Neurospora crassa OR74A: one gene and its partners. The protein of the gene in region 3 interacts with the protein of the main gene of each other region in a pairwise test. Links are inferred from orthologs where the notes say so. Each region holds a gene or a part of one and is shown on either strand. Other genes may lie near its edges. The genes, in order: NCU06702, NCU06396 and NCU09610.

What was found.
Region 1: the proteins of NCU09610 (region 3) and NCU06702 interact in binary tests that used the Saccharomyces cerevisiae proteins (3 or more experiments, as listed by UniProt). The link is inferred for Neurospora crassa OR74A from reciprocal best matches to the Saccharomyces cerevisiae genes SEY1 and YOP1.
Region 2: the proteins of NCU09610 (region 3) and NCU06396 interact in a protein complementation assay, tested with the Saccharomyces cerevisiae proteins (2 studies listed by BioGRID). The link is inferred for Neurospora crassa OR74A from reciprocal best matches to the Saccharomyces cerevisiae genes SEY1 and GOT1.

Annotation. Positions count from the first base shown.
Region 1 is NC_026505.1:4,330,696-4,334,447, reverse strand, and holds NCU06702 (yop-1), read right to left. Parts: upstream 2,292-3,752; 5' UTR 2,114-2,291; intron 1,918-2,113; 5' UTR 1,873-1,917; coding exon 1,819-1,872; intron 1,736-1,818; coding exon 1,520-1,735; intron 1,455-1,519; coding exon 1,429-1,454; intron 1,358-1,428; coding exon 1,262-1,357; intron 1,205-1,261; coding exon 1,090-1,204; 3' UTR 555-1,089; downstream 1-554. UniProt on the Saccharomyces cerevisiae protein: Required to generate and maintain the structure of the tubular endoplasmic reticulum network and the vacuole. Induces high curvature in membranes and causes membrane tubule formation. Involved in membrane/vesicle trafficking.
Region 2 is NC_026504.1:2,648,791-2,652,024, reverse strand, and holds NCU06396 (Got1 family protein), read left to right. Parts: upstream 1-903; 5' UTR 904-1,147; coding exon 1,148-1,178; intron 1,179-1,263; coding exon 1,264-1,290; intron 1,291-1,563; coding exon 1,564-1,628; intron 1,629-1,732; coding exon 1,733-2,032; 3' UTR 2,033-2,663; downstream 2,664-3,234. Other genes in the region: NCU06397 (profilin), read right to left, coding at 2,823-2,957, 3,096-3,234.
Region 3 is NC_026502.1:58,446-62,197, reverse strand, and holds the start of NCU09610 (sey-1), read right to left. Parts: upstream 2,704-3,752; 5' UTR 2,257-2,703; coding exon 1,715-2,256; intron 1,663-1,714; coding exon 1-1,662. Other genes in the region: NCU09611 (fructosamine-3-kinase), read right to left, coding at 3,489-3,582, 3,656-3,752. UniProt on the Saccharomyces cerevisiae protein: Cooperates with the reticulon proteins RTN1 and RTN2 and the tubule-shaping DP1 family protein YOP1 to generate and maintain the structure of the tubular endoplasmic reticulum network. Has GTPase activity, which is required for its function in ER organization.

The DNA of each region.
Region 1 (3,752 bases), on a different chromosome or scaffold from region 3:
GCCGTTTCTGCCTTTTCCAATCTTTTCGATGCCAGCGCTGATACCTAGGTACAATTAACGAATGTTTGAGGTCGGCAATTATGGTTTCCCCTGGGTTTCAAATTTCACCCGCGACCTCGAAACGAGCTGAAGCATGCGCGCTCGAGGTCGTCAAGACAGAATATCAGTGGATGTTCTTGATTGCTGTGGTCAGCAACTGCCCTGCCCGGCCTGGGCAACTTTTGGCAGGTGGCTACCACTGGAACTAGTAGGTCGGTTGTTAGTGTCAAGTACCGTTAAAGGTATTGTGGTACGCTGAGGGTAGGGAGAGGGGAGCGTATGCCGATTACTGTGTACCTCTAGGTTTTGCACCTGCTTAACAGAGCTCAAAGCTCGAGCCATCTGATACCTACCTCTAGATAGTGTTGTACATCCTGTCGAGCTGTAGTTTTACGGGCAGCAGCCATCCAAATTGATGGCTTCCAGTGGATTTCTGAATCACGGAAAACAGCAGTGTCGTTGGCCTTCCGCATACGGTACTTGTAGTCATATGAAGAGATATCGATTGCTCACATCGGCGAAGAGAAAATTGAGGTGGCGCGGTTATGCTTTCTATACGTCGTCTAGATGTCAACAAAACCCTTCCTGGGCTGTCCTGGCCAGCAGACATACATTGCAAGCATGTGGTGTGCCCCATTGCTTCGTCTACACGATGGCCAGCTATGGGCCTTTCACGTCGAACACATCTCAGTGTTTCAGTGATAGCAACCCCAATGCAAGGAATGCTTCATTACTGCCACTTATTCAATCGTTAGATACCAAATATGTCCCTACTTCTCTAGACGCATCAGGCTCAATCATCCTGCCACCATCTTCTGTAACCACATGTCCTCTTATAACCACCTCATATCTCCAACATTTCCAGTTAACAAACTATCCCTCTACCCCGATTTTGTTGTGATAATCTTGCACGCGCGTGAATGGTTGCCAACAAGTCCAGCGCAAAGACTTGATGGCCGTGCATCTATCTGCCTGTGTATCCTCGGGCCTCATTCAAAGCGGCACACTTTGTAACGAGCGGAAGAGGCCCGGCAGTTGCCCATAAGACGCTTAGTCAGTGTGGACGGCGTCAGCCTTGGCGCGGAGGCCGCTGGCGGTGGAGCCATTTTGGAAGTAACGGCCAAGGGTGGGGGCGAGGAAAGAGCGGAAGATGGTCTCGGCGCCCCTGTTGACATATAAGCTTGTCTTCTTGAAAGTCTGATAGAGGCGGGAAACCACTTACTTGAAGGTAGGAAGAGAGAGCCAGAGGAGGAAAACAAACTTGAAGGTGAAGTAGAAGGGGAACCAGTAGACGACGCTGATCAAGCTCTCAATGACGCTATAGCCGCGTGGTTAGATATTAAGCGCACCAAGTCAACATCGAACGCAAAGCCAAAGTGGAATGCTTACGTGAAGAGAGAGAAAACAACCCAGTACTGTGAATGCGGTGGTTAGCATGGACACCATAGGCAAAGACCTTATCAGGCATATCCCGACTTACAGTGAGCCACTGGGTATCATCCTGCTTGGAAGCGGTAAAGAGGGCATTGAGCGAGTAGTATCCGGGGAGGACGAAGCCAGCGAGGTTGGTGAGGAGCTGGCCGCCGAGGTTGAAGATGATCAGGAAGAAATAGAGAGCAACGAGACCGATGACGGCATAAGCCTTGGGAACGCCGGTGGTCTTCTCGAGGTTGTTGAGGGTAGGGTACTTGGACAGCTATTGAGGCAGGTTAGCAACGCAAAATCCAACGACGCCGTGGCCTGGCCGACATGTCTGCGATCCGGCTGCGGTTTACGCACCTCCTTATCGAGCTGGCCGATGTACTGCTGGGCGCGGTCCTGAGGCGAAGACATTTTGAGTGTTTGGTGCGGTAAGCAAGTCTATCGATCTAGAGCTAGCTGTGATGTTTCGACGTCAGCAAGATGCAAAGTTGAAGTTCAGGGGAAAATCTGAGTCGGAACTGGCGGGGAAGCTGAAGCTGTGACAAAGTGGGTTGGGCAGCTGGGAGGGCTGGGCCTAAAAATCGCAGCCTGCTCGGTGAACACCCGCACCACCGGCAGAGAGGTGACGGGAAGCTGAGAGAAAATTGCTGACCTGGCTTTCGAATTCACCGTAACGATGCTGTGAAGTGCAATGTGTCGTCTGACCTTTTGCGGTTAGGGGTGATGCTATCGTGGAAATGGCAGTTGGAGTGTGGGAACGGGTTGAAGTGGGCTGTGGGCTGTGGGCACAACGAACAATGACGATTGATACGTGTGCATTCAAAAGGGGATCATCCTGTTCTCAACCCGAAACTTGCCCTGCCCGTGGGGCCGCAAAGCTTCCTCCCGTTATCAACTGCATCTGACTGGTTCCAGAGCCCAGTGACGCCACATCGGGAGCTGTTTGACCAGGATTGGTAGACGAGAATATGGTCGAGGAATGGCTTGAGCGTACGGGTGATAAACTTATTGACTTTTGGCTAAAGTCATCAACAGGTCCGATGGTGTAGTTGGTTATCACGTCAGTCTAACACACTGAAGGTCCCCAGATCGAGCCTGGGTCGGATCAACATTCAACTTTTTCTTTTTTGTCCGTTGCACATTCTAACAGTCTCTCATTGGCCTGATGCATCTCCTTCTGTGCCTCGCCTAAGCTGCGAACGGCTCGTTTTTCTCTCCATTTTGAGATCATCATCATCCTGATATAACTTTCTCTTAACATTTCATGGATCCACACAAGCAGCTTACCGTTTTGGTCGCTTCTTCCCGCTTCTTGTAAACATCTACCATGGCCAAATGCGGCTAAACTGTCACGGTATCCGTCCAATCTTCAATTGGCCATGGAGGTTCGAAGATTTGGGTAGTAAGGAGAGTGCGTTACTCTCTCGAGGTTGCCTCGCCTGCTCTACTCACTTTGCGCTTTGATCTTTGAGACAGGCGGCCATGACAACTTGTGGACGTTTGAAGTTGAGTATCAGAACTCATGACATGGACCAACATGAAGCTTTTCGAAGCCCCGCGATACCGCTACTAGCGTTTTCGTGCAATCAGCTCCACCTCATGCGGGTGGGTGTCGGCCGCCGCATGTGCAGCGCACTTCACATTTACTAAAGAAAAGTGTAATCCTCTGCCAGATGGCTCACCAGGAAAACAACCAGTTTGATCTCTCCAACGTATCTATGACCAATATCACTGAGGGAGAGATCAGTTTCCCCTCGTTCTGCGAGCGGTCAGACGCGAACATGCTTGCCAAGTCAATGCTGGCGCAGTCTCTCGTCAACGGAGTGAAGTACAGTGTTTGTTCTGTGATCCTATGGCGGGATGACAACTCCTGTCAACCAGAAACGCAGCCAGGCATCCAGGGCAGTAATTCATGGTGGAACGTCATGGTGTAGTGTACCGGATGTCTGGAGTGACTGGTTCGGAAAAGGCATAGTATGTCGATCAGGCACACATCTAGACTCTAGTGTGTAGCCCAGGAATGGGCAAAACATCAAGGAATTCAGTGGGAGCGGAATGCGCAGGTGTTCTGGTTCGTCAACTGCCCGAATTCCTCGAACAACAAAAGGAAAGTCAACAACAGTCTCGAACAGGCAAACGGCCAATCAGACGGCATTTTGGTCCCAAGCGGGTCTGCATGGAACGTGCGGGGGAGCAGCTAGCTGCCTTTGACTTGCAGTGGTTAAGTTCCCTGCCGCAGCCTCCAGTGGAACGTCGCTGCACGTTGCAGAGTCACGGCAGCCCGTCCGCAA
Region 2 (3,234 bases), on a different chromosome or scaffold from region 3:
TGGACCTGGGCTGGCTGCCTTGTCATTTGGCGCTTGTTGGCCATGGCGTGGGCATCTCGCACGCGCTACGTACGGGTCGGAGGGACATTGAAGCATCTACAAACTTGGATGGGATATTACAAGGAGGCGTTGAACATGACTCGGTTTCCAAGGCGTTGAGGGACAAGAAGGACCGATTGCAAGGCGTTTTCATTTTAAACAGGAACCAGGAAGGGAGCATTGTTGATGTGATGTTATTATTATTCTCACAAAGAATTAATCTAATCGCAAAAGAATGTGCGACCAACAAAGTCAAGTCCCAACTACGTACTCGCTGTCTTTCAACAGCAAGATACAATCGACACTCCGGCTTAATCGTGATCATTCGCTCTTTGCCCAAAAGCTCGAAAGCTAACCGACAGACCACCGAGAACGGACGGGAGAGAAACCGAACTCAGATTGCTCTAGCAAGAAGCTAGAGCCGTCGTGGCAACGTGAAGGGAAAGGAAATGAATAGTACCTACCGTAGCTGACCAAGACGCCCCTGATGATAGCAAAATCATGTAATCAAGCGCCCTGGTCCATCATTAAGACCATTACATGCTGACAAGCATATAATACGCGATCGAGGCGTGGTTTCGGAACAAAACTGCCATGTTCGCTGTTCTGAAACGCCTTCATCTCTGCGCGACAACTGGACGTAGAACAGAGAACGAAAAGGAAAATTTCCCGAAATTCGAGAAAAGATGCTTTTGCGGTTCGTTGGCCCCTCCAATCCTGATCCTCAGAACCAATCACAGCTGCAGAAAGCTAAGCCAAAGTGGATCTGTTCCTGCCCGCCCGTCGGCAGGCCCCCGAAGCCGCTAAGGTCCGATTGCTCTGCCGGCCGCGTCCCTGGCGCGGCGTTGATGCAAGCCCCTTGATCGCATCTTAGCACATCGTCGAACGAGACCGTTTTCGATCGCCTTTGCAACAACTAGACATAGTCAGCACTTTCACAAGTCAGCGTATTTACGCTCTTTACTATATACTACATTATCTTATTAATTCATCGGCAGTTATTTCCGCTTCTTCACTTCTTTTCGCGCTGCCTCGAACTCCCCATCTAGCTCTTGAGCTAGCTATCTTCCGCCCCGCCCAAAAAAGCTTCCGAGTCAACACCAGCAATATGCCTACAATGTGGTTATCCGACTCCCAAAGTGAGTTGGACCCCCAACCTGACTATGGCCTACGGCACGGACTGCGAGTATATGATACTAATCTCTGTTTTTTCTCTGTTTCTAGAAATTGGAGTCGCCTTTTGCTCTGGCGGTATGCATTCACCATCCCTAGTTCCCGAATCTCCCTCCTCAAATATTCCTTTCCGAACCTCTGTATAGCTCCTTGCCAGACCTACCTAGCAGCGATTATGTACGGGAGCTGGATCTCTTTGCGCATTAATGCGCCACCGGCCATGATTTGAAAGTTTTGGGCGCGCGAACGTTGCGCATCTGTCATGGGATCGGATCGAACATACACGCTTATATGTTCTTTTGGGGAAAAGAAGGGACCAAAATAAACTGACGGGACGAACTCTCCAACCAGGTGGCTTTTTCCTCATCGGCGGTGTCCTCCTCTTCTTTGACCGGGCCATGCTTGCCATGGGCAATGTATGTTTTGTTTTCTCACCTTATCTCCCTGTTGTCTATCTTCTTCTTCTTCTTCTTCTTCTCCTGCGTTTATGTACCTACTAACACTTCTGACACCCAAAAAGATTCTCTTCCTAATCGGCCTAACTATAATAATCGGTCCCCAAAAAACTTTCACCTTCTTCGCACGCAAGCAAAAGGCCAAAGGTACGGCGGCTTTTTTCTCCGGTCTGGCTTTGATTTTGATGCGCTGGCCTTTGATCGGCTTCTGCGTGGAGCTTTATGGGATCATGATCCTCTTTGGCGACTTCCTGGGAACGATAGCGGGTTTCGCGCGCAACATTCCTGTTATTGGACCTTATATCGGCACCGCGGTTGATCGGTCTGGTGTGGTAGCGAGGCAGAATGCGGATTTGCCTGTTTAAATGGAGGGATTGAGTGTTGAGGGGAAAAGGCGAGGGCGCCGTGGCATAGTGCAAACGTGCCGAACGAGGATATGGTCTGGGCCATGGCGCCGCTCTTCGAAAGCTCACGAATACTCGCTTTGCCGTTCGGTTGAATGACATCGGCGGGTCGGGCGCAAGACAGGTTCAGCGCTCGCGCTATGAAAGGGAGGGCAAAAGAAAGAATACGAGGCGAACGGGAACATGAACGAAGAAACGACGGTTGTGAAACGAAAAGGAGAGGGAACGCCTATGAAGGGTCTAATGCCCACGATCAACATGCACATTCACACAAACGGCGTTGGAGCGAACTTTGGGATACCCAAGTTGTAATATGAAGAGGGAAGTATCGGGCTTTCTTTTCATGCATAATTTTGAGAGGAAGAATCAAATACTATAGATGGTTCCGGGGTGGGGGGGGTGTTAAATTGTCTACAAAATCACGATACCATATAACCCCAATGATGGAACAACGGACGAGGAACGTTTTTCACCACCGGCAGCCTCGACTGACATGGAAAGGCAAATTCCGCCAAAGTGTGCTGTCAGTTCCAGAAAAAAAAAATTCCCAAGGGCCTATGCCTGTTTAAGGATATCATCCATCCAGTACACCAGTCCCCAATACTCCTTCACAGGAAAGTCTTTCGGTTTCTTTTCCGTCTTCCCATCTTTCGTCTTCCTTGTCTTCATCCCGTTTTCATTTGTTTCTTGTTCAGTGACTCTTAAGACATCCAATCATCTCATCCTTCTTCCCACTACCTCCCGACATGACTTAGTATCCGGCCTTGACGAGGTAATCGGCGAGCGCCTCGACGGTCTGTGTCGAGTTGCCGGCGACAGCGTTCTCGCCGTAGTGGGCGACGAGGATGGCCTGTGTTGTCTTGACGATGATGACGCCAGTCTTGCCCTATTTTTGGGGGGAAGAAAAACCATCAGTGAGCTTGAACATACGAGGCTTGGAAAGGGGATGCCTGGAGCAGCGCGGCCGACTAAAGTTCGGGCGTCTGAGGTTGAGACACGATAAGGGGATAGAGATAGTACGCACCTGGCGACCGTAGACGTGGCGACCCTCGATGTTGAAGGCAACGTAGCGCTGACCGGCAACGTGGAGACCCTCAGCGAAAACCTTGTCAACGTTGGAGCCCTTGCCATTATCGCCGAGGACGGCGGAGATGAACTTCATC
Region 3 (3,752 bases):
TTGGCTTCAACATACACTCCATCTGCCATCTTCTTAAACCTCACCACCAAATCCTGCTTCTTGGGCTCGCTCAAAATCGTCGTCTCCTCCTCGAGGGACTTACCCTCGTCCTCGTCAACGCCACCAATCGGCGTCAGGTCCTCTTCATCACCTGGCTCGACGCCGTGCGGTTGGGGACCGACAAACTCGATCAAATCCGGAGGGGCACTGGTGGATGTCAGGCGGAAGCGGGATAGCAGCGGGACGAGACCGAGCGTCGACTCGCGCGCGCGCGTGTAAATCCCTTCAATGTCATCCGACGGCCGCCAAATGCGTGGCACTCCATCTTCGTCGTAGCGGAACTTGTCTTCGAAGTTTTCGCGAAGCTTCATGAGAATGTTGGACTCCATTACTTCTTCTTCGATCTTCTCGCGCAGCGCGACCCACGACTTGCGGCGGAGGCGCCAGAGGCCGACTTGGACTTCATCGTCGCTAGCTTCGAAGCTCTTGGCGCGATCGGTAAACCTGCTCTCGGCTTCACCCACAATGCTGATAAAGGCCTTCCATACACGATCCCAAATGTCCTTCTCGGTAGCGGGTTTCTCACCAGACTCCGGAGCACCAGACCCACCACGACCGGACCCGAGCTTGTTGAATTCCAGCCCAATCGCGTCGCCTAGGCGGGACTTGACCCACCGCTCTACACGAATCGCCAAGCGGCGCATCTCCTCCTTGCGCAAGCGCGCAGAGACTTCGTCGAGCTCCTTTTCAAAGATGAGGTACTGCGGCTTGAAGTTGGACCAGGCCACTCCGGGGATGGCGAGGGACTGCGCCTCCTTCTTGAAGATTTCAAGAGTCTTGGTCTTTTGCTTCTCGACAATCTCGGCGAACTCGTAAGCACCGCCCGCTTTTTGCCCTGCCTTGACAGCGTTGGCGACGGCCTCGGAGAAGGCAGTCACGCCCGCCTTGTGAGCGGCGGTGAGATGGGCTTGGTATAGAGCCTTGAGGCGGTTGTCGATTTTGTCCTCGAGCTCGGCGCGCTTCGTGGTGTACACGCCCTTGTGGTAGCGGGAGGCCTGAGTCTCAAAGTTCTTGACGCACTTCTCACGGGCCTCGGCGCCGATTTGACCGAGATTGGGAAGGACGGCGGGCTTGCCGGCGCGGGTGGACTCGGCCTGTTGTTCTTCGAGGGGAGCAATGGCGGCGTCAAAGGCGATTTGCACCTCGCGCGCAATCTCGTCACAGCGGAACTGCGCGAGAAGTTCTTGTTGCGTGGGCAAGTCGAGATCCTTGTTGGAGACGATCTGGTCCCAGATGCCCTCGGCGTAGATGGAGAGGCCGTCGGCAGGGATACGGCGATGGTATTCGGGGAGGAAGACGCCACCGGTGAGTTCTTGGTCGTCGGTGGCATCTGAGTCCTTGTTTCGGTGGCCGGCAATAAAGCGGGAGCCGAGATTCTGAACCTCGGAGATGAACTTATCGGGTTGCAGGATTTTGTGCGGGAGGGCGGCAAAGGCAAAGTCGAAGTAGTCCTCAATCTTGGAGTTCTCGAGGCCGGCGGGCTTGGAGATGGAGGACCAGATGTGGGTCAGATCCTGGATCAAGGTGTTGCGCAAGTTTGCGAGAGGGGTGACGCCGATATGGTCGCGGATAACGAAGAAGAGGAGGGAGCGGGTTTGGTTTCTAAACTGTTAGTAAGTGAACATCGGTTAGGAGCGCATCACAGGAAACCCACTGCTTATCCTTCAAGAACAACTGCATGTTGACCTCAAAAACAGTCTTGAGCAGGCCCATGTTTGCGCCCTGGTACAGACCAACCTGGTGTTCCCAGATGTTGACGATCAAGACCTCACTCGTAGCAAGGGCGAAGAGGGCACTCTTGCGCTCGAAATCCTGGTCCTCGCCACGCTCGCGACCATCGGTGCCTTCGACGTCCATGACCAGGATGTTGTCGGCCATCTTTCCCTCGTTCTTGTTCTTGGACATCCATATGCCCTTTGTAGTCTGGCGACGCTCTCGCTCGGACATGACGCTGAACTGGGTGCCGAACAGGTGGTTCAGGAGGGTTGACTTGCCAGTGGACTGGGAGCCGAAGACGGAGATGAGGTGGTAGTTGAAGCCGGCCTCGGCAACGTGTGTCTCGTTGAGGTACTCATTGAGGTTGGTGTTGTATTGCTTGTCCTCGTTGATGACCTGGATACCGTGTTCAAAGCTGTGGGCGTTGCTGTCGGGCGACGACCCGTTGCCGTTGTCGACGGCGGCGAAGTGGCCGTTCATGGCGGTGGTTTCGTGATGTCTCGTATGATGCGGCGCGTGGTTGGTTGTCTGGCTGGGGTGGCGGAGAAGAGGACGGACGACGCGACGGGGAGAGGGCGGGTAGGTAGCAACAAGACAGACTGAGAGAGAGGAAGAAGGGGAAGGAGAAGACGGAAGAAAGGAATGGGTGGTGGTGATATTAGAAAGTTGGCTGTACTACAGCAAAGAAGAAGAAGAAGAAGAAGAAGAAGAGGGGGGAGGGGAGGGGAGGGGAGGGGTGTGGTCCGACTTGGCGGTGCTTCTAGTGCTGCTGCTGCTGTCCCGTCGTCGTTGACCACACGCTTCGGGCTGAGGAGGAGGGGGTGGTATCGAGTGCCAACTGTCAAGCAGAGAATCGAGGCCCAAAGGGTGTCCAAAGGGGGAACCTACAAGCTGCCCGTCATGGATTGGATGTGGGTTCGTTGCTTGCATGGTCTGGTCGCTTCTCAGAATGGAGCTCTCACAAGATGATGTGGATCGTTGCTGTCACTCGCTGACAGGGGAACGACACCTCTTGGCGGCTGCAATGACATGCATTGAACACCTGGACAGTGACATGTATGGTCTGTGCACGGCAAGCGATCCTTAACAATTATCGCTGGGAGACGGATGAGGTCCATGTGAACATGCAATCGATCGGATGGATGCCGGCGTGTCAAAAAGTGTCAGTTTGAGAGGACTCACAAAGAGAGACATCACGCTATAGGGGTTTCACTTGTCTCGACCTGACATTTCCACGTGTTGAATGTGAGTCTTGAGACCAGCTGGTCCAGCTTTAGCGACAACTAATCGCTCTTCATTTCGTTATCAGCTAGAACATGTTATGGATGGCGTCTTTGCGAAATGCGATCAACAATGGCCATTTATCACACGAGACCACTAACAGATTTCGCATTGGGCTTCCACTTCAATCTGTTAGTCGAGGGCCACGTTGCTTCTCATGTCTACTTTAGGCCCCTATACTTAGAATATCTTTGGCCGAGCATCAAACAATGGACCAACGCGCTCTTCATCAATCCTAGCATTGAACAGACGACTGGCGCCAGACCATACCCACCTACATCAACACATTTTGACATTTCAATAATGTTGGGTTTCACGGTATTGCAAAGACACATGGACGCGCCATGAGTACCTGATACTCGAGGTTGATATGCGGACTTTCACATGTTCGGTTTCTGAGGACCATTCGCCAGCCAAGTCGAATATCCCAGCTACGCATACTTTGCAATAAGCTTCTTCATAATGGACATGGCGCCGCCGCGATACCCGCCTCCAAACAACGCATAGTGGTTCAAATGGTGGTACCTGTCGAGCCCCATTAGCAAATCACACCCCTCACAGCATCTCAGCAGGCAGGTCAGATCACCGCGACACTCACAGCTCATACAAGGCAATTCGATCCTCCCATTCCTCTTTCGGTTCCTGCTTCGGCATCAACTCCCCATACTCCTTCCAAAACCCCCCGCCAAACCCGC